Saccharomyces cerevisiae S288C: one gene and its partner. The protein of the gene in region 1 interacts with the protein of each later gene in a biochemical or structural test. Each region holds a gene or a part of one and is shown on either strand. Other genes may lie near its edges. The genes, in order: GIR2 and RBG2.

Region 1 (8,338 bases):
GAAAGCCGTTTTGAATAATCATATTTTAATAAAAGAAGATGACTATAAAAACATTTTAGCAGTATCAGAACATCCGACAGTGATCCACCTCTCCGAAAAGGCATCTTTATTAAATAAAGTCTTGGTAGACAAGGATGATTTTGCGACCATGTCACGCTCGATTGAGAAACCAACTATCGATTTCTTATCCACTAAGGCGCTATCAATGGGGAAAATACTAGTTAATGAATCTACGCATAAAAGAAACGAGAAACTATTATCTGAACCAGATTCTGAATTTTTGACAATGAAAGCCAAGGAGCAAGGGCTAATTATCATTTCAGAAAAGGAATATTCTGAACTGCGGGATCAAATAGATCGTCCTAGCCTAGATGTTTTGAAAGAAAAGGCCGCCATTTTTGATAGCATCATAGTAGAAAACATAGAATACCAACAACTGGTAAACACTACAAGTCCCTGCCCTCCCATTACTTATGAAGATTTGAAAGTATATGCCCACCAATTCGGTATGGAATTATGCCTCCAAAAACCCAACAAACTTTCTGGAGCTGAGCGTGCAGAGCGCATTGATGAACAATCAATAAATACGACCAGCAGTAACTCGACCACAACATCGAGCATGTTTACAGATGCACTAGATGATAATATCGAAGAGCTTAATCGTGTCGAATTGCAGAATAATGAAGATTATACTGACATAATCTCGAAATCATCCACAGTGAAAGATGCTACCATTTTCATTCCCGCCTATGAAAACATCAAGAATTCTGCTGAAAAATTAGGCTACAAATTAGTTCCGTTCGAAAAATCAAATATCAATCTGAAAAACATTGAAGCTCCATTATTTTCGAAGGACAACGATGACACTAGCGTTGCCAGTAGCATAGATCTTGATCACTTATCTAGAAAAGCAGAAAAATATGGTATGACCCTCATTTCTGATCAGGAATTTGAAGAATATCATATACTAAAAGATAACGCGGTTAATCTGAATGGTGGCATGGAAGAAATGAATAATCCCTTGTCAGAAAATCAAAACTTAGCAGCAAAAACCACAAACACAGCGCAAGAAGGTGCCTTCCAAAACACCGTTCCCCACAATGATATGGACAACGAAGAAGTCGAATATGGGCCGGATGATCCAACATTCACAGTAAGGCAACTCAAGAAACCCGCTGGCGATCGTAATTTGATTTTGACTAGTAGGGAGAAAACACTGTTATCAAGAGATGATAATATAATGAGTCAAAATGAGGCGGTTTATGGTGACGATATATCTGATAGCTTTGTAGATGAAAGCCAAGAAATCAAAAATGATGTAGACATTATTAAAACTCAAGCTATGAAATATGGTATGTTGTGTATTCCTGAAAGTAATTTTGTGGGTGCATCATATGCAAGTGCTCAAGATATGAGCGATATAGTTGTGCTTTCCGCGTCCTATTACCATAATCTAATGTCACCTGAAGACATGAAATGGAACTGTGTTAGTAATGAAGAATTACAAGCGGAAGTTAAAAAGCGTGGGCTCCAGATTGCACTAACAACAAAGGAAGATAAGAAAGGTCAAGCCACGGCATCCAAACATGAGTATGTGTCGCATAAGCTAAACAATAAAACATCTACTGTGTCCACAAAGTCTGGAGCAAAAAAGGGACTTGCAGAAGCAGCAGCAACAACTGCTTATGAAGATTCCGAAAGTCATCCACAAATAGAAGAGCAGTCTCATCGTACTAATCATCATAAGCACCATAAACGTCAACAGAGTCTGAATTCTAATTCAACCTCAAAAACCACACATTCATCGAGGAATACGCCAGCATCTAGACGAGATATAGTAGCATCATTTATGTCACGTGCAGGATCTGCCAGTAGGACGGCATCTTTACAAACTTTAGCATCATTGAACGAACCAAGCATAATACCCGCGTTAACCCAAACCGTCATTGGGGAATATTTGTTTAAGTATTATCCACGCTTGGGACCTTTTGGATTCGAATCACGTCATGAAAGATTCTTCTGGGTTCATCCATATACCTTAACTTTGTACTGGTCCGCTTCTAATCCCATCCTAGAGAATCCTGCCAATACCAAAACAAAAGGTGTTGCCATTCTAGGAGTAGAAAGTGTCACAGACCCAAACCCATATCCAACAGGATTGTATCACAAAAGTATTGTTGTTACCACAGAAACTAGGACTATTAAGTTTACTTGTCCTACAAGGCAAAGACACAATATTTGGTATAATTCATTACGTTATTTACTTCAAAGGAACATGCAAGGGATAAGTTTAGAGGACATCGCTGATGATCCAACAGATAATATGTATTCAGGAAAGATTTTCCCATTGCCCGGCGAAAATACAAAGAGCTCCAGTAAAAGACTTAGCGCATCGAGAAGGTCCGTATCTACAAGGTCTCTAAGACATAGAGTACCACAAAGCCGATCATTTGGCAATTTACGATAGTTAAAAAAACTAAATAACTCTAAGTAAATTAAGAACAATAATAATCATTATTTCGATTTTTAGTCCTGTAAACACGTTTGCCACCGATGAGTAACACTGAAAGATCAGAGAAAGAAAAAAAAATTCTACCTAATGAAATAAATAAACTAAAAAGATTAAATTAACTAATTCTCATGTTAGTAGGTCACGAATTCTTTAATTTTGTTTTGTGACTGAAATAAATATGAAAACGATAATGAATAAATAAATAAGGAGAGGCAGCAGAAATACGCCAAATATTCAAAGGGCTTTGTTGTTGACCGACTACCAAGTCATCCTTTGCAATGCTTTAACACTAGTATGTAAGTTCCTAGGCTTACTCAAATTAGTGATATTATCGTTGTTGCTTGGGGCTAGGGAAGTAGGAAGTGGAGTCAACGCCGTATCCTTACTTCTTCCATCGTTAGCATTTTGATATATTTCAACGTCCTTATCATCACCGTGTTTGAAACAGCAACGCTTACCGTACGGACAGTAGCCTAACTTCGACCAATTTATGCAAGGTTTAGTTCTATAATTGTTTGATTTTTTCTTGAATTTCAGTTCATTAAGACCATGAGCAAATTGGCATTTATTTCCATACTTACAATAGCCTTTAATAGTAAAAGATTCACAGAGCTCAGTTTTGTATAAGGTCTTATTGACTAATTGAGGAAGCTGCAAAGGTGCCCTTCTACAAGGTTCCAGTTTTGTTGTTTTCTGAATTGGAAGTGTGTATGGAAGTCCAGTAGACTGAGAATCCACCTGAGATAGTTTTTGTAAATTCTCCGCTGTCAGGGGTAATGAAAATGCACTTGTCGTGTAAGTAGGGTTAATCTCAACTTCGAGTGACCTTTTCTTACGTTTTTTCTCAGTTGTAGCAAGTGTTGAGATGTTATTATTGCCTGCGAAAGGGTTATTAATAGGTAATGTATTTGTAGGTCTGGAATCTGATATGATCAAGTCTTTAAAATCTCCCAACGGATGATAACAGTTTGGTTTGGATGGTAACCAAGGAGAAGGCCTTGGTGAGTATTCACTTAAAATGTCCGTTTCATTTATATTATGCCCCTCGGAGCTGCTGCTGTCATCATTATCGGTATTTTCATTGAGCAGTGTCTTTATATAATATTCTTCGATTTCTTTAATCTTTGACTCGTACTCCTTGTTGAGATCAGAAAAGATCGAGGACGTAGTCGTTGAGGTCGAATTGGCATTCGGTATGTTTAAATAGTAGCTGTTTGGAGCAACATTCGGCATCATGGCTAGTGTTAATCCTTAATAGTTCTTATTGGTTGAGTTGCCGAAGAGACTGTGATATAGGGTTCTACGGCTTTACAATCAACTTATGGGTGAAGAGGCTAAATAAGATGTGACTTGTTAAGAGAGCAAGCGCAACAAGAGTGCAAAACCGTCACACTATGTCCAATGATCTACACTATCAACCTTTGAGTTAATGTTCTCTGATCCAGTATATTAGTAACTGCTCACACTGATCAAGAGCGTGAGAGAATACGAGCGAAAAAGAAAGAAGAAAAATTTGGGTGCCATTGGCACAGACCCTAAAAGAGATGTGAGAGAAGTGGGCCATATATGTATATTTTTCCCGAATGTCCTAATAAGTAATGATTGGAAATCCTAGGTCTATAAACTCGGGTAACAGAAGGTGGAAAATGAAAATTTTCTATTTTCCAATTGTAAAATCAGCAGGCATCGTTAGATTGGCTTTAAAGAGCTGAGTTTCCCATGCTGTCGGTTGGTATAATTTAAGGAAAAGCCCTCCCTCCATATCCAGAAGGCACTTGTTAATACTATGGATTATAAGGAAGAACAGAAGCAGGAACTAGAAGTTTTAGAGTCCATTTATCCTGATGAACTGAGGATCATAAACGATGAATACCCAAAGATTAAATTTGAAGTAGCCATTAAATTAGAGCTGGATACAGGTGATTCTACTTCTGTTTTAACCAAAGAGCACACTATAATCGCCGAATTCAAGTTACCAGAAAACTACCCTGACGAACCATGCCTGATTTCATTGGAAGCTCAAGAAGTAGCCCTCAATGACAACGAAGAAGATAACGAGGAAGATGAAGACGAGGTTGAATATGACGACCATGGTAATAAAGTACTGAAAAAGTTTGAAAACCTGCCAGATTTAATAAGCTTTAAGGGGTACTTGCCTGAATTAACCGTACAATTAGAATCGCAAATCGAAACCGATATGTTATTGGGTATGCAAATGTGTTTTGCATTGATTTCATCCATAAAAGAAAGATGTGAGCAATGGTATAGTGAACAATTGAATAAGCTCGAGAAGCAGTACGAGCTGGAAGCACAAGAACGTGAAAAGAAGGAACAGGCCAAGTTCCATGGTACTAAAGTCACAAGAGAATCGTACTTGGAATGGAGGTCTAAATTTCGCCAAGAACTGAAACTGGATGAAAGAGACCAGGTGAGAAGGATGAAGGCTCATCATGGGAAGCTAACCGGTAAGCAAATGTTTGAACAAGGCGTGGTGGGCACAGGCGACGAGTATATGGAAGAGGATGACGCGAGTGTAGATGACGTAGCCAAGGGACTTGCCAAGACCGAAATAGCAAATCAATAAATACTTGTGTACTTAAGTATTTAAGTATTTTCTTCTGCATGGATAATGACATATACAAATGTATCTATATAATATTTTTTTGATATTCAATAAAAAGAAAACTGACATTTGAAGAAGGAAATAGACAAGTTTTTAGTAAGATATTATTAGTGTATATATGGATACATATATCTGAGAATGAAAATTTGTTGACTGTATTGAATGTATTGGGAGATGAAGGGGTATTTGGTGATTAGACCAACGACTTGGAGTAAGAGAATAAGTCGGAAAATGCATCATTTCCCTTCGACTTGTCCTTTGTAGCCTGAGGACGGGCTTTTTGCTGTTTTTTCTCCGCAAAGGGCAATGATGTTTGCGCAGCAGCGGTGGTATCTGTGTCTGACTTTGGGCCATCCCAGTCAAGCAAATCATCTATTTTACTATTGGAAGTTTTAGGTGCTGTTGTGTCGGGACTCGTTTCGCTTTGGAAGTCGCCAAACTCATCATCATCATCATCACTATTGCTGTTGATATTATTGTTTTTGTTGTCATTATTACCATTGTCTATTGTTATATTATTCGTGGTGCTAGTACTATCGTCAAGATCGATTAAGTCAGGGATGCTATCTTGTTGTTGCTTTCTTTTCCTCTGCTGTTCTTTATTTTTGATCTGCTCTCTTAATATCTCCCTTCTTTGTCTTCTTTGTTCTTCCATATGAGAACGCCTGCGAGTATTCGAATTTGCTTCTGTTTCCACAGGAACATTGAAGTTGGTCACATTATTAGCATCCATTTCACTGTCAAAGCCATCTGCATCTGCATCAAATTCATCGTCGTCGATGTTATCGTAACTTGCAGACGTTGAAATCTGGTTGGCATTATAAATGGAGGATTCTCCTTGCTGTCGAATTTTCAAGGCATTCTTCTTATTCTTGGCTCTTTCCTTTTTCAAAAATTGTGAGTCTTCCAAGTATTGCAAGATAAGTTCTCCCTTTTTCCTAATACCTCTCTCATGAATCTCCATTTTACCATCATTGGAGAATTTTACCTTGAATTGGGCAATCTCCCTGGTTAAAATATGCTTATGAGTGAGCAAACATGATCTAATCTGATTCAGTTCGTCACCTGTGTCGACGTTCAATAATAGGAATTCAATGACTACTAGACATTTTAAGACCACCCTCCATTCGGACCCATAATTAACGTAGTCCTTTCTTGCCTTTTCGTATAGGTTCTTGGGCCTGGTAGCGATATGGTCGACTAATCTTTTCAACGTGTATTCTGTCATCAAGTAGAGCGGCACTTGGTATCTGTTCCTTAAAACCTTGGCGAGGTGCTTCGGTGTGGGGCCCCAAGCATCGGTATTTGTAGCACGACGGATATCTATCTGATAAGGCTCATATTGGACTATCACGTTTTGGGCAAACCTTGCGGCATTTCTAATATCATGGATACCTAAATTTTGAATCTTTTTTGATAATGAGTCCATTTTGTATGGTGTTGGTATTTATGCAATTGGAACGTTTAATTTGTGTATATGAATTTCCCTTCCGATTTGTATATTGGATAGAAATATAATTTTTTAAAAAAAGTAAACTATAAGCAGCCTGGAAAGATAAGCTAGACCAATTCTTATTGATAAAAAACTAAAGATAAATTCAACCGAAAACTAAAATCTAGATTGAAATTAAAACAAGAATGAATGAATGGATCAAAGGACCTGAATATGAAAAAAAGTGCAGGAGAAAGAAAATTTTCTCGCTGTGGAAAATAAGCCGAAAATCCGTTACCTAGAGGAAAGAAAGAAACGTGGGAAAAACAGGGGGCGGTACCCGGCGGCGTCAACTTAACAGGCATAACCTAGGCGGTAGTTGGCTAGTTGGCAAGCCTGGCAACATACTCCGATATAGGTAGGAAGAGTTAGTTATAAGAATTGATTGTCATACATACACATACCTTATACATATACATATAATTTAAGAGAGAATAGTTCGTTTCAATTTTTGCTGTATTGTTCCAGGCAGAGCGGTTATAATTCACCGGACTTGGCAACAACAATTCTAGCCTTGGTGGCACCGGAAGGAGAACCCAAGGACTCAACCTTCTTAACGATGTCGTAACCGTCAACAACTTCACCAAAGACAACATGCTTACCGTCCAACCATGGGCATGGAACGGTGGTGATGAAGAATTGAGAACCGTTGGTGTTTGGACCGGCGTTGGCCATGGACAACAAACCTGGTCTGTCGTGGTGCTTCTTGAAGTTTTCATCTGGGAATTTGCCACCGTAGATAGACTTACCGCCGGTACCGTTACCAGCAGTGAAGTCACCACCTTGCAACATGAAGTCTGGAATAACTCTGTGGAATGGAGAGCCAGCGTAGCCGAATCCCTTTTCACCGGTACATAGAGCTCTGAAGTTTTCTGCAGTCTTTGGGACTATGTCGTTGTACAACTTGAAAACGACACGGCCAATTGGTTGGCCATCAGCTTCGACATCAAAATAGACTTGGGACATGGTAGTATTAGCGGTTGAGTTTGGATTGAGTTGAGATATTAAATTCAAGACAAATCTTAATATAACCTATCTAGCGAAAAAGGAGGAACAAATGATGACGACAGTGGCAAAAGGATAGAAGGCTCAAGAGAATACGTTTATATTTATACAGGGAATCGAACAGACACTTGTCAGCGTAAGCCCAACCAAAGTGAGAAGGGCCACGGCCATTACCAGAGACAGAAATGAGTGGAAGCGCGTGGAAGCCCGTCTAGCAGAGGAAGAAATTCGAGACGAGGCGGGACGTGGCGGGCTGGGCGCCCCAGAAAATACCGTAGAGGACGAGGGGGGCGGTGGAAACCCCTAAGGGGCGAAAGGCGGGTAACATCTAACAGCGACGGGTAAGCATATTGCGGGTGTAAAATTTTTCATTTCGAGCTTACTTCAAGATGATGCATATGTTTAAATCACATTGATTATAGAGGTCTCATCGGTAAGGCAGAGCAGAACTGGAGACGTCTGAGGTAAGATTTCGATAATACAAGATGATGAAAGGTTCTAGAAGAACAGGTAATAACACTGCTACCACGCTAAACACGCCTGTGGTCATTCATGCCACGCAGCTGCCCCAACATGTCTCTACTGACGAGGTTCTTCAATTTCTGGAGAGCTTTATCGATGAGAAGGAGAACATTATTGATAGTACTACCATGAATACCATCAGCGGCAACGCCGCTGACGCGGACGCTGCCGCTGTGGCTAACAC
Region 2 (7,646 bases), on another chromosome or scaffold:
TATCGATAAATCTGGCAATGTCCCACCGGTTTCTAGTTCTTTTAGAATTTGGTCTCTTTTAGAAGCAGGAAAAATGAAATCTGGATTCTTTCTTATATGGTCAACTATTTTCTTGTTAAATAAGGATAGCCTAAAGAAGTAATTTGTCTCTGACTGATAAACTACTTCGTTTTTCGATTCTGTATTCAGATACTTACCATCATTTTTGGGGTCTTTAATAACCTTGGATTCAGGATAGAATGTTTCATCAGAAATGGAATACCAACCCTTATGTTCGCCCATGTAAATATAGCCATTTTTCAAACAAAGTTCCCATAATTTCATCACGTTTTCAATGTGGTCAGGATCCGTAGTCCTTATAAATCTTGTATAATTAATGCCATATATTTTGTCTAATTGAACAAACTCTGGGTATAGCTTATCGACGAACTTTTTTGGCTGATCGAAGCCATTGCTTTCACTAGCACACTGGATTTTCAATCCATGTTCATCAGTACCTGTGGTAAAGAAGGATAGATTACCTTTAAATAATTGCCATCGATGGTAAACGTCACTTAATAAGCTGGAGTAAAGATGGCCGAGGTGCGGTTTGGCATTGGGATAGAAAATTGGCGTCGTTACGTGGGAGACCTTAGAGTACAGACGATGCACAATTGATCGACATTGCATGTTTTCTTTCGATCAAAACCTATGCTTTCCTTATTTACCTCTGGAGAATAGTAACATTAAAATTTACATTCTTTTTTCACAGTTGTGCGGATTTATTTGTTTGAAACCACCATTGGACTACGTTTTAGTTTTTAAAGAAAGAGAAGGCACTTCGTAATCCAATGTTGCCTAGTACTGGTATTGCTTGCACTATACAAGGAAGTAAGTGTGATTATGTAATGCTGTATACACTCTTTATTCAAACATAGTTCAGAAAAACATATATACAAATATCGCCCCTAAGCCAATTCCCTTCAGACAAAAATTACCATGAGGGCAAAAACACTGTAGAAAATCAACAGTGGGTAGGCAATTAGCAATCTTGCATTTTGCAATTGGAGCAAAGAATTTAAAAATCCAGACGAGGTCCAAGTACTCCAAATTACAAATAGTACTGATACAACATAACCTGTAGTGTTGTTCAAACCATGGAAAATGCCCAGTAAAGAAAGGAAACACAGAGGCAAAAAGCAGTATCCTAAGATGGACGCTGTATTGAAAAATTGTAGGTTCGTTTGAGTGGAAGTATCGTTATTGCTCATTAATTTCGATAGATTGTGCAAAGAAATGGTACCAAACAAAGCGACACCATAGATATATCCAAAATGAACCTTTCCAGCCATCAATAGAAAAAGTCCGAATAACAAAAAGAATATCAAAGGCCCAGCCAAATCTGAATCGTTTAGAATTTCTTGTGGCACACCACTACCAAAACGTATTGGTATAAGAACCATTTTAGTTTTCGTTATGATATGATCGAAATTTATTCCAATTTCCTCCAGTAATGGAGGTTCATGTGGATATCCCTTAGTTGAAAGAGCATGTAAAATACCTACAGGCAAAGGGTCGGGGGCAACACCCAAATTGTTATCGTTGCCAGTATTAGAAGAACCGACGGTATTTTGAAAACTCATTGACCCTTGGGGAACGGCAAATTGTGCAGAAGGCTGATAAAAGCCACCGCCATTATTAGCATTGTTACTAGTATTGTAGAAAGACATCTCGAGAGGGACTAATAGTTGTCTTGCAGTACTTCCCGTCCAATTTGTAGCTGTTATAAGATGACTTGGTTCGTGTCACGTAGTTACCTCACTCAAATAGCAAAATAATCAATGGTTACCCGAAGTGAAAATTTTCGTGATAATAGCGATGAGATTTAAACCCAGTTATAAAAGTCGTACAATATTGAAGCTGTTGATATTGGAATTGAACAAGTACTAACGAGATACGCATTATCAAAACTAACGTAACAAGCACTACAAAATGGGTATTATCGACAAAATCAAAGCCATCGAAGAAGAAATGGCCAGAACCCAAAAAAATAAGGCCACAGAACATCATCTGGGTCTTTTGAAGGGGAAATTGGCTAGATACAGACAACAACTGCTAGCTGATGAAGCTGGTAGTGGTGGTGGAGGAGGGTCTGGTTTTGAAGTGGCAAAATCAGGTGACGCTAGAGTAGTTTTAATAGGTTACCCCTCCGTCGGTAAGTCCTCCTTATTGGGTAAAATTACCACCACCAAGTCTGAGATCGCTCATTATGCTTTCACGACATTGACATCCGTTCCTGGTGTATTGAAGTACCAAGGTGCAGAAATCCAAATTGTGGATCTTCCAGGTATTATTTATGGTGCTTCGCAGGGTAAAGGTCGTGGTAGGCAAGTTGTTGCAACAGCAAGGACCGCAGATCTAGTATTAATGGTTTTAGATGCCACAAAGAGTGAACATCAAAGAGCATCTTTGGAGAAGGAGCTGGAAAATGTAGGCATCAGGCTTAATAAAGAGAAACCAAATATTTACTATAAGAAAAAAGAAACTGGTGGCGTGAAAGTTACGTTTACCTCCCCTCCAAAGACCAATTTAACCGAACAGGCAATCAAAATGATCTTGAGAGATTATCGTATCCATAATGCAGAAGTTCTGGTAAGAGATGACCAATGTACGATTGATGATTTTATCGATGTTATTAACGAACAACATAGAAATTATGTCAAATGTCTTTATGTGTATAATAAGATAGATGCAGTATCATTAGAAGAGGTGGATAAACTTGCCAGAGAGCCAAACACCGTTGTTATGTCCTGTGAAATGGATTTGGGATTACAAGACGTCGTTGAAGAAATTTGGTACCAGCTGAACTTGAGTCGTGTGTATACAAAGAAGAGAGGTGTTAGACCAGTATTTGATGATCCTCTAGTGGTAAGAAATAATTCCACTATTGGTGACTTATGTCATGGTATCCACAGGGATTTCAAAGATAAGTTCAAATACGCATTGGTTTGGGGTTCTTCTGCCAAACATTCTCCTCAGAAGTGCGGCTTAAACCACAGGATTGATGATGAAGATGTAGTTTCTTTATTCGCGAAATAGTATAAATGAATAGATTTTAAAGAAACATGAAAAAACAAGATCAGCATCGAGAACTGTAGTACGGAGCAGAGATTTTGCATGACTAAACGGACTCATTTTCCTTGTAGTAGAAATAAATGCTGAAAATAGGTTTTTTAGTGAGAACCGGAAGGTGTTACTTTCATGGTATATTCGTATATACTTTTATAATGTAATTTGAAGAGCTCCGTTCATAAAAATTGTCATTCTGGGCTTCAAATGAATAAATAAACCCGAATGACAATGAAATCTCGAAATTATAATAGTGGTACCTAGTGTAGTAAGTATAAAGGAACCTTCTCTGTTGTATCTCAGAATGGGATACCTCAGTATGACAATACATCATCCTAAACGTTCATAAAACACATATGAAACAACCTTACAGCAAAACGAACAGAATGAGCAACATGAAAATAAAACTCTGCCTTCCTTAGCTAACCTACTCTAACGTATAAGTATCTGAACAATTGGTTTAGATCCAAGATTCCGCGCTTCCACCATTTAGTATGATCCATATTTTATATAATATATAGGATAAGTAAGATCCCGTGAATCAAGCTGATAAACCGTTTTGACAACTGGTTACTTCCCTAAGACTGTTTATATTAGGATTGTCAAGAACCTTGACATTACCCCATTGCATGATGCAATAATCTCATATAAATAACAAGCGCAAGTGGTTTAGTGGTAAAATCCAACGTTGCCATCGTTGGGCCCCCGGTTCGATTCCGGGCTTGCGCAATGTTTTTTCCATCCCCAAGTATGGGAACTAAAATAGCTAAAAATAAGTATGAAGTTATATTTTTAAACCTATTTACAGTGTACAAATAAATAATATATCATAAATGACACAGACGTATGTTTTAGGATGCAAAAGTTCAAGCTGCCCTTCCTAATTGAGTGACCCGACCCATCTACCAGAAGCGCCACCAGCTTTTAACCTGCTTATCCTGGACTATTTCCTTTGTTTTCTCCTCCGTTTCAGATCTTAGCTGAGACAGTTCATTTCTGATCCTAGCCAACTCTTCTTTTTGCACCTCCTCCGCCCTCACCTTAGCAAAGTGATCTCTGCTTTGAACGTTATCACCGTTCCTTTCCCAAGGTGATTGAAGGGGGCCCGTCTTCCAAATTGGATCGTCACTTTGAGAAGTTTCCTTAACAATTTTCATCAAAGCCTGCTGCTCCGACTGACGTAGTTTTTTCTCCCTCTCATATTGTAAACGTAATTCTGGGGAAAGCTGGCTGATTAACTGTTGATCTGTTGGCGTTGTGTACTTGAAAAGCAGAAACCCGCTTCCAATAATAGCGCCACCAATTGCATAGACTTTCAACCAACGTACCCACAATGGTCTTTCCATACCCAAATAATGCTTATACTGTCTTTGTTTTGCTATTACTGCCTCTCTAGGAGTTATCGCGCACTGCATGTATATAAAATTTTATCTTGATAAAATACCCCGGGGGATGAGCAAAAAAAGGGATATGGGGAATGAAAAGTGAGATAAACTAGCAATAATCTATTCTAATAAGTAGAACATTCACAAAGACTACTATGGTGTAATTCTGAAAGGATTTACGAGAGCACAAATACTATTATGTATAATTCTGACTGCAGAATCCGGCAAGCTTGATTTAATATCACTTAAGGAAGTAATATCGTTAATTGATAACCGAATATGAATCTCAATGCATATTTTGAAGCATATCAAGCCATTTTTCCTTTTCTGTTGGAGGCATTTTTAAGGAAAGAACAAAAAGTATAAAACACTTCGGTTAATAATAAATGATATGTGAATTTTTTTGAAAATATGTAAAATAAATAAGTAATAAATAAAAATAAGATGTGTTTATCGTAATGTACTATACAAGCCTTCCAAGCCGACTTCTGTAATAAAAAAAAAAGGTGCAGCTTAATGTTTGACGGTTCCTATCCTCTCTCCCTTATAAGCTGTAGTTAACCAATCAACTCACCAAACAAAAATGGGGTGAATACTCTAATAGCTGTGATCAAAATCATAATACCTTCCAATAAAGCCATTGGTAATCCCAAGAAACCACGTTCTTCCATGTTCAAGTAAATGGTGTAAAAAGCGACAGCGAAGAAAACCCTGGTCAATTGCAAAGGCTTTGGCAAGACACCAGACAGAAATTCAACGGGTTTGTTGACACAATCGCCACCTCTTTGGAAATATTTGAAACAACCTTTTTGTAATGCCTTCAAGTTATCGCTGTCAGCAGCGAACAAAGAATACAAAGCCACTGACAAAACGTTAATAACGGAATCGTAACTCTTTCTTTCGAAATGGTAGTCTAGTAATTCATCCAAAACCTTTTCACGGTCGCTGAAGTCTAGGTCACCTATTTTCTTAATCAACAAGACAACATCATGCAAACCGACAGTCATACCACCACCAGTCAATGGATGTCTCATATTTAGAGCGTCACCGATAACACACATACCAGTGACGTCGTTTTGTCTAGCTGGCAAGTAGGAGTTTGGCATAGCTCTAAATTTACCTTGGCTGACGGCTTCATCAAATGAAGGACGTAGACTCTTTGGAATGAAAGGTTGGACATCCTTAATCATCCAACTCTTGATATCAGCTGGGACCTTTGGAGAGTTGTAAGCACAAAGGATTCTTGTTTCTTCTGGACTGATTTGGTAAACCAAGATTGGCATATGATCACTACCAAGAATAACGTGACCGTGCATAGGAGCAGGATTCTTAGCATTGAACAAAGACATACCGACAAACGAAGAACCGACAGTTGGAACATGGTCTGGGTGCAATTCCTTTCTGAAACGTGAAAAGATACCGTCACAGATAAATGTCAAGTGGGCTTTGAATTCCACCTTGCCACGGCCATCAATGTCAACCTTGGCACCAACAACCTCATTCTTTTCATCCTTCAATATCTCAATACAGTTACCTTGCACTCTAGTAACATTTGGCTCTTGAGCAGTAATGTTTCTCAAGTTGTTCAAGAATCTACCATGAACAAAAGCAACACCCCTTTCTCTTTCATCATCTTCGTAATCCTTGATGTGAATAGTGCTGTCTTCCAAGACCTTGTCATTACCATCTTTGACCAAGTCCTTCAATTTTTCAACTTTAGGGATATCGGCCTTGTAAGGGTATGGAATATCAACTTGTTCGCCGTTGAAAAAGACGGTATAACCGGTAACAGGATATGCTTCGATGTTGTTGATAGATTGAATCATACCCAGACTTCTCAATGCTCTAACACCACCTGGTTGCATCAATTCACCAACAATTCTATCAGGCATAGCCCAGTCACGTTCTACGATAAGAACTTTCTTACCCTTTCTTGCTAGACCAGTAGCAACACATGGACCGATAACACCAGCACCGATGACAATCGCATCGTAGGTAATTGTGTTGTCGGCATTAATCAATTCAGGTGCAACGTTAACAGCAGACATGACCCTTTTCTCGATATGTTTTTCTGTGATTTTTTTTTTTCAATTGTTCGAAATAACCTGTATTGTTCAATACTGGACAATTGTTCTGATATATATATATATATATAATTTTCAATGAAAAAAAAAAAAAAAAGAAAGAAAATTAGAAGCTAGAAAGAAATAAGGAAAAGGAAAAGCAAACAACAATAGGAAAAAAAAGCATAGAAACATATAATAGATTAAATACAAAAGATTTATTATACATGCGAGGTAAGACTATTGTCTAAGACTTATACCCGACCGAGAGCAGCCACGGCATGCATCGACTACGAGCGTATTGTGTTATATCAGCTCTGTCCGATACACTGCTTGCCTTTTGTACGAGCTCGGCCGAGCTATACGAAGGCCCGCTACGGCAGTATCGCATTAAAGCGACGCAAATTCGCCGATGGTTTGGTAGAAGAGCTTGCAGAACGATTCCCATTCGCCACGATCCCGTAGAGTGCCCTGAACCACGCTCATGTCCATGTTCATACCATTCACGTTTGTGGAGCAAACGTTTAGGCCGAACGCAAATCTCAAGGCGCCTGCAGACTGCGAGAAGATTAAATCCCGAACGTAGTACGGCTTGGTCGTATCTTGCGAGACAAGTCCTGTATTACTGATGATTGCACCGCCTCTTTGCTGGTGCAAATAAGAGTTGGCAAGAAGGCTGTCTATATTCTTGTTTTCAACGATAAAATCAAGTTGTAGGACCCCCAGACCAATCAAGTGGTCACCGTTGTCGTACGATTCTAAAAAGCGGTCATAGTAGTATTCGACAAGACTCCAAAACTTGTCATTGTCACCTTCGGGAATGTCGAATGAGGAGATTAGATAGGCGTAATGCGAACCTCCAACGTTGGAGCCGTATTTATAAGAATCTCTTAACTCTTCATCGTTTGGTAAAAACCTTCTTGCGTTGCTTGGAATAGCCACATCGAACCCATACTCGAGAAGAGATTTTGTGAACAGCTTATCCAGTCTATACAGGGCTACAAGAAAGCACGCTTGAATGAAGGGTGTTAGGGTGCACCCATCGTGAACATTTTTCTTGATCTGAGCTCTGATTTGTTCTACTTGCTTA

What was found.
Region 2: the proteins of GIR2 (region 1) and RBG2 form a complex in vitro, tested with the Saccharomyces cerevisiae proteins (one study listed by BioGRID).

Annotation. Positions count from the first base shown.
Region 1 is NC_001136.10:761,408-769,745, forward strand, and holds GIR2 (Gir2p), read left to right. Parts: upstream 1-4,298; coding exon 4,299-5,096; downstream 5,097-8,338. Other genes in the region: NUM1 (Num1p), read left to right, coding at 1-2,467; putative mRNA-binding protein CTH1, read right to left, coding at 2,771-3,748; ENT5 (Ent5p), read right to left, coding at 5,329-6,564; peptidylprolyl isomerase CPR1, read right to left, coding at 7,105-7,593; DNA-directed RNA polymerase I subunit RPA14, read left to right, coding at 8,118-8,338. UniProt on the Saccharomyces cerevisiae protein: Acts as a negative regulator of the GCN2 kinase activity by disrupting the GCN1-GCN2 interaction in amino acid-starved cells.
Region 2 is NC_001139.9:841,883-849,528, forward strand, and holds RBG2 (Rbg2p), read left to right. Parts: upstream 1-1,971; coding exon 1,972-3,078; downstream 3,079-7,646. Other genes in the region: methionine--tRNA ligase MSM1, read right to left, coding at 1-669; transporter YIP1, read right to left, coding at 963-1,709; CBP4 (Cbp4p), read right to left, coding at 4,011-4,523; YGR174W-A (uncharacterized protein), read left to right, coding at 4,773-4,859; ERG1 (squalene monooxygenase), read right to left, coding at 5,051-6,541; ATF2 (alcohol O-acetyltransferase), read right to left, coding at 6,947-7,646.